Linked DNA regions of Solanum lycopersicum. The protein of the gene in region 2 binds, or shares a complex with, the protein of the main gene of each other region. Links are inferred from orthologs where the notes say so. Each region holds a gene or a part of one and is shown on either strand. Other genes may lie near its edges.

Evidence for each region. Proteins that work in one complex are often made in the same cells at the same time.
Region 1: the proteins of CSN4 (region 2) and COP9 signalosome complex subunit 7 are in contact, whole or in part, in a cryo-EM structure (PDB 9IS6), measured with the Arabidopsis thaliana proteins. The link is inferred for Solanum lycopersicum from reciprocal best matches to the Arabidopsis thaliana genes COP8 and FUS5. Residues at the interface, in NP_199111.1 of Arabidopsis thaliana: Glu269, Arg270, Ile271, Arg273, Ser310, Lys313, Leu314, Tyr315, Thr316, Asn317, Ile318, Arg319, Glu322, Thr325, Leu326, Val357, His359, Gln373, Asp383; in NP_563645.1 of Arabidopsis thaliana: Met1, Lys108, Val124, Arg125, Glu128, Asp129, Ile132, Asn133, Met136, Tyr137, Lys144, Leu145, Asp146, Gln147, Leu148, Pro155.
Region 3: CSN4 (region 2) and COP9 signalosome complex subunit 8 share a complex: the UniProt entries of both Arabidopsis thaliana proteins name them as parts of the CSN complex. The link is inferred for Solanum lycopersicum from reciprocal best matches to the Arabidopsis thaliana genes COP8 and COP9.

Annotation. Positions count from the first base shown.
Region 1 is NC_090800.1:79,720,518-79,725,190, forward strand, and holds the start of COP9 signalosome complex subunit 7, read left to right. Parts: upstream 1-1,387; 5' UTR 1,388-1,599; coding exon 1,600-1,758; intron 1,759-3,208; coding exon 3,209-3,284; intron 3,285-4,673. UniProt on the Arabidopsis thaliana protein: Component of the COP9 signalosome complex (CSN), a complex involved in various cellular and developmental processes such as photomorphogenesis and auxin and jasmonate responses.
Region 2 is NC_090803.1:66,278,812-66,284,242, reverse strand, and holds the start of CSN4 (COP9 signalosome complex subunit 4), read right to left. Parts: upstream 3,359-5,431; 5' UTR 3,250-3,358; coding exon 3,120-3,249; intron 2,038-3,119; coding exon 1,886-2,037; intron 939-1,885; coding exon 835-938; intron 734-834; coding exon 673-733; intron 1-672. UniProt on the Arabidopsis thaliana protein: Component of the COP9 signalosome complex (CSN), a complex involved in various cellular and developmental processes such as photomorphogenesis and auxin and jasmonate responses.
Region 3 is NC_090800.1:89,068,627-89,073,081, reverse strand, and holds the start of COP9 signalosome complex subunit 8, read right to left. Parts: upstream 3,287-4,455; 5' UTR 3,148-3,286; coding exon 3,064-3,147; intron 2,954-3,063; coding exon 2,874-2,953; intron 2,771-2,873; coding exon 2,589-2,770; intron 406-2,588; coding exon 298-405; intron 1-297. UniProt on the Arabidopsis thaliana protein: Component of the COP9 signalosome complex (CSN), a complex involved in various cellular and developmental processes such as photomorphogenesis and auxin and jasmonate responses.

The sequences.
Region 1 (4,673 bases), on a different chromosome or scaffold from region 2:
TAATACTCGCTTCAAAATTCCTTTCACATAAAAAAATCCCTATTTTGGGATCGACCCCTACACGGAAGCAATAGCGAAGTCAATTCGGGTAGGCGCACGATCCTTATATCATAACAAACGTTTTATAGGCTCCCGAACCCTCGATTCGGTTGTTTTCCAAGAATGTTGAGCCACATATGTAAGCCATGTATCTGGGAGGAACAACAATAAAAGAAAGGTTTCAGTTTTTGTCTTGCAACTATTTTCAAAATATATATATAACCCAAAAGAATATTCATTCATTTCTTTCTTCTCCGTCGACCACGACGATTGAAACGACGCGAAAAATCTAGACCCCGTAAAGGAGAAGGGTCGGGGGGGGGGGATTTGGGAAAGTCGGGTCGGCCGGGTGTCTTTATTCAAGCAATGGTACAGAAGTAGAACGAAATAGAGTGAGAGGTCGGGGGCATGGAAAAGAGTCAAATCGATCAGGCTCGACGATCGGGAGAAGCAAAACGAAATCAGGATTTGAACGAAAAAAAAGCAAGGTTGTGTATACCATGACCGATCACCATCGACAAAAGAAGAATATTTCTAAATCACTTCGTGTCAGCGGGACCTTCAAGCATCCGAAATATGCCACGATTGAAAATGACATAACATACATGATTAAAAACATAAAATTAAATCATAAAAGTTTGAGGAAAGATGATACAAGTTATTCATTATTATCAAGGTGTCAAGTGAAAAACAATAATATCTATGATCGAGAAAGATTGAAAGAAGTGATTGTCTCACATTTGCTAAGAGCTCTTTGATGAATTTTTCGTAAAATGCAACCCCTTACTTGTTAAGTAACTCTCTATCTAATTGTATAAATACAAAATACTATTTTATTGATAAGTTATCATATAATAATGGTATATTCAAATTTAAATACATTGACATGAAATCAACCTAAAGCATACGACAAAGCCATTAAGATTAATAGTATGTCAATGTCAAAAATCTTTCTTCAGTATACATGATTTGATTAACATGACATTCACTCTACGTTATCATATTGAATATATTATTATTGAAATTTATTAAAATTTAATATACATATAAAATAATTAGTATATATTTCTTATAATGATCTTATTTTCTTTTTTGTATATTTTAAAAAGAATGATATTTTTCCTTTTCTGGCAACATTTTAACGATATGACATGTTTAAGAATATAAAATTAAAAAGTATTTTGATATACTTGACATAACTTTAATTTAGTTACATAAAATTAAAATATATTATTCCTTTTTTGAAATTTTATTTTAAATTATTATTATTTTTTTAAACGGAGGGAGTAATTATTATTGTAAAATATTGAAAGAAGCTTAAAAGTAAATCAAAAGTATAAAAGGACCCGCGATGGGCTCAAAGCATCATACCAAATCAGACAAGCGCCCTTCTTCTCCGTGGGACTCCAAAATTTTACAGTTAAAAAAGCCCTCTTCTCTATTTGTTTTTGTGATAAATCTTTGAATCGGAAATCAGAAACCCTAATAATTTTCTTTGCTTTTGTCTATAAATGTTATTGAACCCCTGATTACTTGTGATTATTAATTATTCATAGAGAGATGGATATCGAACAAAAGCAAGCGGAGCACATCGACTTCTTTGTGAAACAAGCATCAGCACTCAAGGGTTCTGCCCTTACCACTGTTATTGTTGAAGCCACTTCGCATCCATCACTCTTTGCTTTTTCAGAGATTCTTTCTGTTCCCAGTGTTCTCGAGGTTTCCATTCATTCATATTACTATTTCTACACTTGTTCTGATTTTGTTTGAAGTTTTTTTTTTTTTTTTATGATAATTGGGTTAGTAGGTGTTGCGTTAATTTGTTTTTTTGTAATTTTGTGTGTTTTTTCCTATACTGGGTTTCTAGGTATTTACCCTGAACATTGTGTCGTGGTTATGTACTTATGCTATTGATTGGGCAATATCTGGAATATGATATCATTCTGGGTATCTGTTTGTTGAGTCTTTCGAAAACAGCCTCTCTACCTTCTCAAAGGTAGGGATAAGGTCTGCGCGTACACTCTACCCTACCTGGACATCAAACACCACTTGTGAGATTACATTTGGTTTGTTGTTTTTGTTGTTGATGGAATTTCCTGATAATTTGATTAGTGGGTTTTCCTCTCATATTGGAAGTGCCTGCGTTAGGCGTAGTAATTGGTCTTGTGGTACGAGGAAAAATGTTGGGGATGTCTTAAGAAAGGAAAGCTTTGAGTAAACTGGGATGGATTAATGAAAACAATATTTTGCCGATGAGCTACAAACTCTTGCTCATTTATATGGCTGTATGTTAAATATTGAATAGTCTATGTAGATGTTTTAGATCATGGATAAATAGATGAAAAGTTAATATTTTATCTTATGATCAAGTACCAGATGATTTTCAAAACACAAAAGGAATGAATATCAGGAAACACAACTAAAATGGATCAAGATACTACAATTTGATTGATTTTAAAAGAGGTAATAGAAGCGTAGGGGATACAGTATCATTAATGAGGAAATAACTTGGGTTCATCCTATCAATTCAATCAACTTCAGAGCTCAAAACCCTAAGCATATCGAAATGGGCTTAGTTGCACGGACTCTTCACTTTGATGCCGCATCCGTGTCGGATTCACCAAAATACACTACTTTTGGCGAATCCGACATGCACTATTGACAGTTTGGAAGAGTCCGAGCTACATAGGAAATGGGTTTTATACTCGGTTTTGATTCTCTTTAGAGTTCCTTTATGACAATTAGGTAGACATCTGGGAATAAAGGGCAAAAGAAGTGCTTTTGATCAGTCAGGTTAGACCATATCTGAAGTGGGCACTTTATTGTGGTATTTCTTGACTATAAATTGCACCTGTGATTCAACGTTGGTTGTTGAATCATAAGATTCAGGTTAGATTTATGCATCACAGACTTAGATTATAGTTGATTCTGCTGGAACATAAATCTAATTGTGAGATTTGAATCTCAAACTGTAAGTTTTTGAAAAATATGGGCATAGAAAACATTTGTTTCAATGCAGAGGATTATTGGGAGCACCTGAAAATTGTACCTTGATATACTTTTTGCAAGTTGTGTAGTTAACACCATATTGCCATGTTGCTGTATATATACTTTGGGATCCCTTTCATATTTGCGGTTAATTGTTTTTTTTTGTTGGACCTATATGCAGCTTGGAGGAACTGAGAATTCAGTATACCTTGATTTGCTTCGTTTGTTTGCTCATGGAACATGGAGTGACTACAAAAGTAAGCGTACATTTTTTTTTATATCTGATTATTTTAGAAACATTTTTTTTGTTGGGTAGGCTGGGTAGCTGATTGGATCCGCTTTTCCAGGTTGGAGATTTCAACAATGTTCTTTTTATTGCCATTATGTCAATTTATCTGCAATACTTCATTTACCATTCTTTCATATTAAATGCCTTAAATTTTATAATATTGTGAACTTGTACCCTATCATTTCGAGGTATTTCTTTGAGATAGAATATGCTTTTGGTCATATGTATAAGAACTTGAAGATTCTTCTAATTGTTAATAGAGCGTTAGTGCAAATGAGGGTATCAATATTAAGTTATTAACTTCTCAAGTTTTGTTTCTCCGTAAATGAGTTCATTGTTGGCTGGGAAGTTAATAAGGACATGGTTTAGCCTCAGTTGTTCGGACTTTATGCGGTATAGTTCTTCTTGAACTGGTTTGATTCTAAATTTTCTTACAAAATCAATCAAATTATTTGGTTGATGTGGATTTCTTGATCGTAGCAAGACTGGAATAGAACTTTTGTTCCACATAGGGGCCATAGTATCAAGTAATAGTAGCGTATAGAATTACATTCTTCAAAACCATTTTCTCATCTATTTTGCTTATTAATTTATTTCTTTATTTCTTATTGGCTCAGGTATATAAGACATAACACTACAAATATGATATAATTTTTATTCCTTCTCAGTAATCACTTTTATTCACAATTGCCTTTTTATAAAGTAATATCACATTCCAAGTTTAAGTTATGATAATCTTTTTGCTAGTAAGAATTTGGTTATTTCAACACCTTGATACGATTGATATTTTGAGTAGAAGTGCTAATGAAAAAAAGTCTTCTTTTTTTCTTCTCTTAACTTAAGAATTAAGTAAAATCAATGAAATTGAACTGCATATGGTAGAAAACCATGTGAATCATCAATACAATATTTGATTCACACGGTCCGCATGCTGTTTCATACAATGCGTCACCCGCTCTTGTATTTGTAATAACTTGTCATGAATTCAATTAAATGTTGATGGAAAAGAACCATAACTATGTAACCCTATTCCTAACAGATTGACCCAAAAATAGCATATCCAAATTATAAGAAAACCTATCGACGCTACAATTGCAGAATTTAGACCCCGCAAATTTCTATTTGTTCGATGAAATATCAAATATTATTTATATCTTTGATATATTATTTCTATAAAATAAATTATTTTGCTTAAACGAGCTTTCTATAATATTTAATTTAAATTCATTATGTTAAAAAGATGAATTATGCACATTTGGATATTGAAAACAAACAATCTTAATTATAATGTGTTCAATTAGTTTTAGAGACAATATCTTAATATTCAAAAATGTACTCGGATTTAGACGTGTTAATA
Region 2 (5,431 bases):
TTTTGTAGAAAAAACTTTTGGTGGTTCCTTAGGTGTTTGAAGCAGTTTGGGCAAACATACTAGAAACTACTTTTGATCGGTAAAGAAAATTGATGATAAAGTTGTACATACCTATATAATATAGAAATAAAAAAGAAAGAACGAAAGATTTTTCCTTTATCTAATGTGTTGTCTCATGTAGTAATTATCTTTTTCAATTGGGAGATATGGTTGTGTGGACTATAGTTTACTCATGAAGATTCCATAACTACTACAAAAATGGAAAGTTCAACACAATTAGAATTTCTTTTAATTGGAAGCAGCTACTAATTCATGATATGGCATGTATAGAATCAAAACTTCATTCTAGATTCTATGAGAATTTTTAAGAAAGCCTTTTGTATAATATTCCCGTAATCAATACGCTTGCACTACAACAACGCCCTATAGCTCAAACTAGCAAGTTATTAATTGTTTTCTTATAAATATCAACAATTAGTTAACCAAACTAAAAAAATTGATAGGTCGCTCCAGCACATATATTGATGAATTGATTTCGCCTCTTCCTCTTTAGAGCAGATCAATTGTCAGGCAAGTTGAAAGGTGCACTACCAAACCAAACAAGGATCGTTAACTTGGATATGTTTACTTGGCATTAGAAGTATAGAAAGAAAAGAAAAAGAAAAATCCAACCTCCAGATAGAGACGAGCAATTTGGACACATTTTGAAATTCTGAATGTATCATCAACGAATCTGCAGAAGAAGCAGTGCGAAGATAGAAATTTCAGCTTCCAAAGATAAGTTAAGGGACACAGCAGCAGGCAAGCAAAGATAAGTAGAAGTGTAACACAGACCTCATTGCAGAGTCTAAATCGATGCCACTAAGCATCTGAGCTGCTTTTGACCATTGTTGCTCAGACTCATATAATTCTGCAAGTTTTTCCCGAATGATCAACACCTGAAAATATGGGATTTTGTTTTAGAAATGGGCAGTAAAAACATAAAAGATCAAAAGAACCTGTATGTGGAGATCTCTTGATGACAACAGACAATATGCTGAGTTCCAATTTTGACCTTCATTTGTACCATTTTCTCAAAACTAAAATACTCAAGACACACATCAAATTTTAAGATAACTATGATTTCCGGAAAAACTTTTTAATCCCAAGATAAACAAATAATTCTGTGACTTTGGCGCTAGCCCACTCTCACAAAATTCAGTTCTTAAAATCACTTCCATCGAAAAGGAATCAAAGGTGTCAATGCAATAGTTCCATCCAACACCAACTCAAAAAACACACTTCATAATAAACAACCCCATGGTCCCAATGTGGGTTGTGGCCCGTGTATTGAGTTCCTGGTACTACACTCAAATTCTTTTCTAGCCTATTATTTTAACTGGTTTTAATAAAAATAGAGATGCTAACTTTAATGGTCAATTAGAAAGAGATTACTTTCTGAAAGACAATTATTTGGAAATTTGCCATCCTTTTTTCTGATAAGTACTTCCCATCCCATAATTAGTAAAAGAACGTGATTTCAATCGTTAAAACAGGCCTTCTCTTTAGGTGGCAGAGATATTGTCATGCTGATTCAATAATTCTCTTTCTTCATACCATGTTCCTCTCTGTATTTTTTCTTGATAGAGCATTCTTGCTGTTCTCTTATGAAGTTTTAAGAAATGAAATTACAAACATCCAAATGCTACACCCTTACAAATACATATGCACCACCTGATGCAACAGACAAAGCAAAATAAAGACAAACTGATGCTAGTGACATTCTGAAGCACCAAATTTTAGAGATATATAAGGCATTAATGTAAGTCCAAGTATCGTTCACTATGGGCTGCAAAGGAGTTGTCAAGAATCTGACAATTAACAAAATAGAAATATCAAAGCATACTTGTTCTTCAAAGGACACCACACGAGGCTGTATCTGGTTGAGAGTATAGTGTGCTACTTCCTTTTGAACATCAGGTTCCAATCTATCGAATTCCTGGGCAAATGTCTGCAATAGCTGTCTAGATACCACCAAGGGCACGTCATCCGATAGCACTGCATAATGTACACACTCAATCAAACAACAGCGGCTCAACCCCAAATTAGTTAGAATCTGACTATAAATATTCTATTTAGATTTCAGCTGAGAATATACAACGTGAATATAAAAATTACAGGAAAAATTAAGATTAGACAGCTGGATGGTGATTGCACTGCATAGTCATACACAATCTCAATCAAACAGTGGCTCAATCGCAAACCAACTGGAATCTGACTGCATAAATTGTCTATACATATTATTTCAGCTAGACGTATACAACATGAAAAATAAAACAAGTTGCAAAATTATGATTAGATAGTAACTACACTGCATAATCGTACAGTCTTAATCAAACAGCGGCTCAATCTCAAACCAGTTAGTATCTGACTATATAAATCATCTATATCTATTTCAACCGAGAAATCTACAACATAAACATAAAATTAACAGAAAATTGAGATGAAATAGTTGCTGCAATGCATAAATCACACACAATCTCAATCAAACAGCGGCTCAATCCCAAACTAGTAAGAATATGAGAATATATAAATCTTCTATATCTATTTCAGCTGAGAGACATAAAACATGAATGCAAAATAAATAGCAAAATTATGATGAGATAGTAACTGAACTGCATAGTCGTAAATAAACTTAAATCAAAATAACGGCTCAATCTCAAACCAGTTAGAATCTAACTATATATATCTTCTATATCTATTCCAGCTGAGAAATATACAACATGAAGATAAATTAACAGCAAAATTATAATGAGGCAGTAACTGCACTGCATAACCAAACACATTCTCAACCAACCAATGGCTCAATCCCAAACCAGATAGAATATGACTATATAAATATTCTAACATCTGTTTCAACTGAGAAATATAAAACATGAACATAAATTAACAGCAAAACTGTGATGAGATTATAACTGGCGCGACATAATTGTACACAATCTCAATCAAACAACCTCTCAATCTCAAACCGGTTACAATCTGACTATATGAATCTTCGAACATCTATTTCAGCTGAGAATTATAGAACATGAACAAAAAATTAACAGCGAAATTATGATGAAACAACGAGAAAAACTTACTGTGATCGATGAATTGCTTGGCTTGTTGGATATCGCTTGATGCAAGAACGGTGGACAGAATGTGCTTGTACTGTTCGATTTTCTGGCGTTGGTCGCTGATCGCAGAGGCACTAGCGAACGCACTCTCCATTGCGATTTAGGGTTTATCTCTGAGCTAATCTTCTCGAATACGCAATTTGGAGTGTCTCGTCGAGTTCTTTTTCGAAGCGTTAATGGAGCTTATGAACCAAAATTTTGGCATATAAATAGGGATTTGAAAGTCGATTTATAATCTGTTGCCCGCTGTGGTATATGGGCTCGGACACAACTTCGAACTAATTTTATTTTTTTAAAAAGAAAAAGTGATAAAATTATTATTTCGGTTCAAATTTATGTAGGATAATTTTCACATGTAGCATATATAAAATTTATATTTGTATGTTATAACAAAGTTCATATAATTGCGCTTTGTAACAAATATATTTAATAGCAAACATATATATGTATAATTTGCTATACATATACAATTGAAGCGAATTGTATAAAACGAAGTGTATAAAATGAGAAAGAAAAAGAGACTTGGGCATAAAATTGTATAAAATGAAATGTATAAAATGAATTATATAATTATAAGTGTATAAGACGATTATATACAATTTGAATTTGTATAAAATGAGAAAGAGAGAATGACAAAAGAGACTTGGGCAGGGAATATACAATTGAATCAAATTGTATAAAACGAGAAGGAGAGAGACAAAAGAGACTTGGGCGGAAGAGTACTTTTATTGTATAATTATAAGTGTATATGACAAAAATATATGTATTTACATGTGTATATACAATTTTCTCTCGATTTATATGATTAGAAACACAACTTATACAATTCTATTGTATAAAGCGAGAGAGGCAAGCGATAGGGAGAGAGAGAGAGAGAGTGACGAGCGAAAATATGAGGGAGAATGAGACTGACAAACAGTTTGCTATGAAACACAAATAAATCAAACAATAGCTATTATATTTATTTTACGGACAAGGGCCTAAAATACCCTTAAAGTATTCAAAATGGTACAAAATTACCCTTCATCCACCTATTGGCTCCAAAATGCCCTTTTCATCCAGCTATTGGCTCCAAAATACCCTTGTCATCATCTTTGGGTTCAAAATTGACCACTTTTTTTAATTGTTTTAAAATTTAACTCTTTAAATATTTTTAAAAATACTTGGCGTTCAACTATTGATTATAATTATAATTTTTTAATATAATTTATTAACCAACCCACTACTCACTCATTACTAATTAAACCTCACCCAATTAATAATCCAATTATAATATCAAAATCATCATAAACACTAGTAAAACACGATGAAATTATAGATTCCTGAAAATGACATTCAAAATTATTCGAGTCCGAATCGAAGTCCCAATTAAATTTAGGTTGAGCCGCTTATTTAGAAGGACACTTTCTTTCAAAATTGAATTAGAAATTCATGATTAAAGGTAAAGAAGTAATACATCCCGAACTAATTCATGCTCTTTTTTAAAATATAATTTTATAAATATTTATGATTTGTTTTAAAACCTTTAATATATTATTTTGAAAGAAAGTTACCTATGAAGTAACATCACATAATTGAGACATAAGAATAATTAAAATGAACATAGTCAGACTTTTAAGTTTATCGGTGATTTTTATTTAGCCACTTGAATGTATGATAATTTACCTCTATAATTTTTAAAAACACTCAATTGGCAGTAGCTTGCATTAATAATGTGACGGATTCATTAATTTAGAGGGATTTGATTAGTAATGGGATGGGTAGTGGATTGATTTATAAATTATACTAATAAGTTAAATTATAACAAAAAATTGAGTTTCACGTATTTTAAAAAATATTTAAATAGTTTAATATAAAACCGTTAAATAAGTGGTCAATTTTGAACCAAAAGGTGGATGACAAGGGTATTTTGGACCCAATAGGTGGGTGGGAAGGGTATTTTGGAGCCAATAGGTGGATGGAGGGTAATTTTGTACCATTTTCAATACTTTAAGGGTATTTTAGGTCCTTTTCCGTTTATTTTATATTATTAATTTGTTATGTTATACAATTACCTAAAAGTTATTCAAAATCAAATTACAATCTAACAAGTCAAACACAATTTCACAGCATTAACTTACTGTTCTTGGATTAATACATTATAAAAAATAATTACTGATTTTAGCGATATTTTTTGCTTATTACCATTTAGGACACTTACTGACATAATAAGCTCAGAGAGTCGCTTGTCCAGCAATTCATCAAATTTATCAAGTAATATGAACACCAAATCAAAT
Region 3 (4,455 bases), on a different chromosome or scaffold from region 2:
AATTGATAAAGGAACAACTACCAACACATCAAAGAGCAGAGTTTGAGATATGAGAGAGCCTTTTCAGAAGGTTTAGAAAGTAACATTTTAGCATGACTTTTAAAGGTGAAAGGTGAAAGGATACCTGACCAATCAAGTCCAAATTATAGTCTGCTAGACAATGAAGAGAATGGAGACGATTCTCCTTGCAGACACAACAAGGATTCCTTATGACAGACACTAGTTCATTTAGTCCTCTTATGTACACAAAAAAGAACTTTACGACTACAAGCATGCACGCTGTAGATAAAAACTTACAGTTTGTAGCATCATTTTCATTCATTCCCAGGAAGTGAGCTGAGTCTTGTGTGCTAATGGTTGAATAAGCGGAAAGAAGGAGCTCGAACATCCTTTTTCTGTATAATTCTGCAGAAGGATGAAAATGATATGAAAATCAAATATACAGCAAAATAAGTACCCACATGTATATCTATGCGTCCTGTATAGAAAAACCACAAAGAAAACAATGGGGCACAAGAACTTCTTCAAGTTTATGTTTACATTATATGGCTCCCTTCACAGATTTGTGTAAAAGCTTTTCTTAAAAAATTGCTAGCAACTATTCGGACATTTCCCCAGCAATGTGGTCTAATATTTAAACAAATAACCAACTTAAATTAAGGATATATGTAACCACCACCCCCTACAATAATGTGCTAACAATCATTTTATTTTCTTACAAATACAGCCCCAATTAATATGGCAGAAGAAAATAATAATTTGGTGAAGTATAGTTTCACCTGACGTCACAAAAATATAATGCTGCATGAATTACAAAACACAAAAATAGTACTAAACTAATTTACTTCTAACCACAACAGAAGATCCTAGAGTCGGAACTAAGCATGCTGAAAATTCTGTTGCGCTCCTCTCCATCAGCATGGTCTGAAAACAACTTCATTTATGCTGCTTTGTCTACCACAGGTCCATAACCAATCCTCCAGACAGAACATTTCAACATAGATTGAGTAATCACTTAATCTTTTTGGTATATGTCTACATCAGTTTATCACTTAATCCTTGACCTCTCACCAAAATGTAGTAGTATAGTTTTGTTTTTTATATAGGTGGGATGAAAGCAATATGATGGAATTAGTATTACTGTGTGTCTTATTAGTAGAAAGTTACATGCCAAATTATCCTTTATATGTGGAAAGATATTTTTCCTCAATAGCTATCTTCCCAAAGTCAAGTATATAATAAATTCAATGAATCTGGAGAGTTACCCAATAATTAAAACAACCCAAGACTCCAACTAATTCACCATCAGTAAATGGTGTACAAAGAAAGAGTATACAGTCCTTGTTTTAGTAAATAAAACGCCTTGTCAAAGTTGCGCATGCGGAAAACAAAGAACCAATTAAGCTCGTCCAACTCATATAAGGAGTAATTGACAAAAAAAGAACACACAGCAAAATCAACAACGAAGAAAAATAGGATGGGGAGACATAATAGGAGCATTATCCACAATTATCTAGGTCAATAAGTACATACATATCAAGATTCAAGCATGGAGATGATACTGCAACCAACAATCCAACAATCATGACATCAACCAGGAACGAAATTGACACGTTGTGATTGGGAAAGGCATCACCATTATGATCTCCTTTCAGGGGATCACGCCAGTAAATACATCCTAAGTAAACCCATACTAAATAATTGCTTATACTGACTATTTCATACCAAACAGCCAATGGCCTTGCTAACAAAACATATCATTTTCAAATTTTTTGATGTTGTACCAAGATGTATTGACCTGTAGAGAACAATTCTACCAGCCCACTTAAGATGATTACCTGAAAGTGGGCACTAGACTTCAAGATAAGATCAGAGAACATCATTGTAGTCTCAAGCCATTATCAAACTCCAATAGCTAATCTTTGACTGCAGCCCAACTATGTGATTTGTGCAGATCCATAGATTCTACTAATTCACAACAATGGCAATTTTGTTGTTAATCCTTTACTTGATCCACATTCTATCTTAACCCAGAAGAGAGGCTAGACTCCTTTGGCAAAGTGGCACTTCTTATAAGTCACAATTCTTAGTTGTAGCAGCAAAACCTTCTATGCTTTTGACAGGCACAGAAAAGAATTTTAATTCCTTCCAAATGCCAACTATAGTATAAATTTACTAGATAGAACCTTCGAAATATAATCTCAACACTTTTATTTTTTGACAATGGTAAAAAATCTCAACACTCACTTTAACTTCTCCCTTTTTATTTCAAAACGAGAGGTGACACTCCTCTTGCACCACTATAACTTAGAGATGCTATGTCTTAGTTGTTCACATATTCAACGTTTTACCTACTCAATGGGTTCTTTCATCTTCATCATTCAGAACCCTATAATCCTATGGATTGGACAAGCAAAAACAAATCTTGGGCTGTTGCTAGGACTTATACAGTACAGTATGTAAAGCTTCTAACCAGAACTGATTAGACGACTAGAATTAAATGAAGCCAATCAAATTTTAAACAAAAAAGGATGATCAACTAAGTCTCTACCGTTTGTTCTATGGAGAATAAAGATAAACAAACTTGCCTGCAAAGGAAGCCACAAAGGGCTGAATCTCAGGACTCCAGCTGAATCCACGAATAGCCTCATGTACACCGACATAGTCCCTTGTCCAAAGTTTCTGCCCAATCCTCCAAACAGCCACCACCTCTGGTCGGGCTTCTTTTACAGCTGCAGGTATCTTCTTCCACAGAAATCGCGCACTATTACTGCAAAAGTAAAACAATAACAATGTAATTCTAAATCAATTCCCTAACATCATCCAACTTAAAACCCTAAAATTCCAAAGTAAAGTTGCAAATAAGAGATTACATGTCATTGCTGTAAATATGACCTAGAAGGTGAATCGCGTACGGCCATTCATCTTGAAATTCGATTCCCTCAGCGGCACCCTATGAATACAAATAAAGCGAATAGAAACATTAGGTTTCACTCTTAAATCGACTGAAAGAACTACACTAGAAAGACGATAAATAAAGAGAAAAAAATAGGGAGAAATTGCCTGGAGCATGAGATCATCACAAATATCAGCAATCTTGTCGTAGAAGCTGGACGCCAAGGCTTCGTTGAGTTGAGAAGTATCCATTGAAGCGCACTGTTTTTTTCGTCGTCGATTCTCCTTCTACTCCGTCACCGACTCCCCGCTGGGTGATCGGAATTACAATGTATTAAATAGTTTCGGCTTTTGGTTATTGGGCCTTTGGGCTACTTAAAGGTGATTTTCATATCCGGATACTAAATAACAAAAATACTAACATTTTTCACGACACATGTTTCTTGTTTCTTGTTTACGTGTAGAGAAAAAACATAAAGTTATTACTGAAGTTCGTTTTATATTTTTATAAAGATAATTTATCTTTGAAAGTGTTATATCACTCTATAAAAAATTTTAATATCTTTGTAAATGAATCATTTTGACTCATTTCCTTGTCTTGATTACTGCGCGTGATGCTCATTTTTTTTGATCCGTTTAGCCCAATCTAATTTTTTTATAAAGTAGAAAAATGTTTTTTTTCCTTGGTTATTAGTTAGCTTTCCAATTCTTTCAGATTTTCTTGTTTTTCTTTCAAGGAACTCGAGAACAAGAGGAAAGACAGAGCTCAGGCAGCATATGAGAGAGGAGAAAGCAGTTGGAAAAACTTAGAGTTAAGGCAAAGAAAGCTGCAGAGGAGAAGCTTGGACCTCAACTCGCCATCATTTCTCCAATCAAGTATTTTGAATTGGTACGTCATTTTTTCGAAATACAATTTTGTTGAAGATTGATAAATAATTTTAATGTCGGCCTTTTTTTAATTATATTGTCCTCCTGAGTAGTGTATTTTCAGTTAAACATTTGAGAGGACTCTCAAACTTTTATTCTTCATTGTTTTTAGTAATGAAATTGAATCTGATGCTTTTAGTGATACACCCAAAAAAACCATTTTATTGAAAATTTAAAGAGAAAGAATTCCTACATTATTGCTTTAGGAGAAGATTATGTATTTGTCAAAAAGAGTGTATCTGATCTTGCTTTAGAGAAAAAAAAATGAAATCATAAAGAGTGGCTATCAATGGCTATTTTGAGTTTAAATTTGGGAAAGATAAGGTAAACAAATTAATAATTAATAATAAAGAAATAAAGCGACATGTGTTACTTTTAAGCTGGTTAATGACAGTGAAAGCATTGTAGCACAGATTTATGTGCGTGGTCACAACCCAAACAAGGAAATGGGTCAAAATGGCTCATTTACAAAGATATTAAAAAGTTTTGTTGGGAGATAGGACACTTTCAAAGTTCAAGGGTCTTTATAAAAATACGTGACAAATTCAGTGACAACTTTATGTCTTTTCTCCATGATTGTATTATGATTTCCTACGTAGAAGGCACTATAAATTAATATATATATTAAAATGT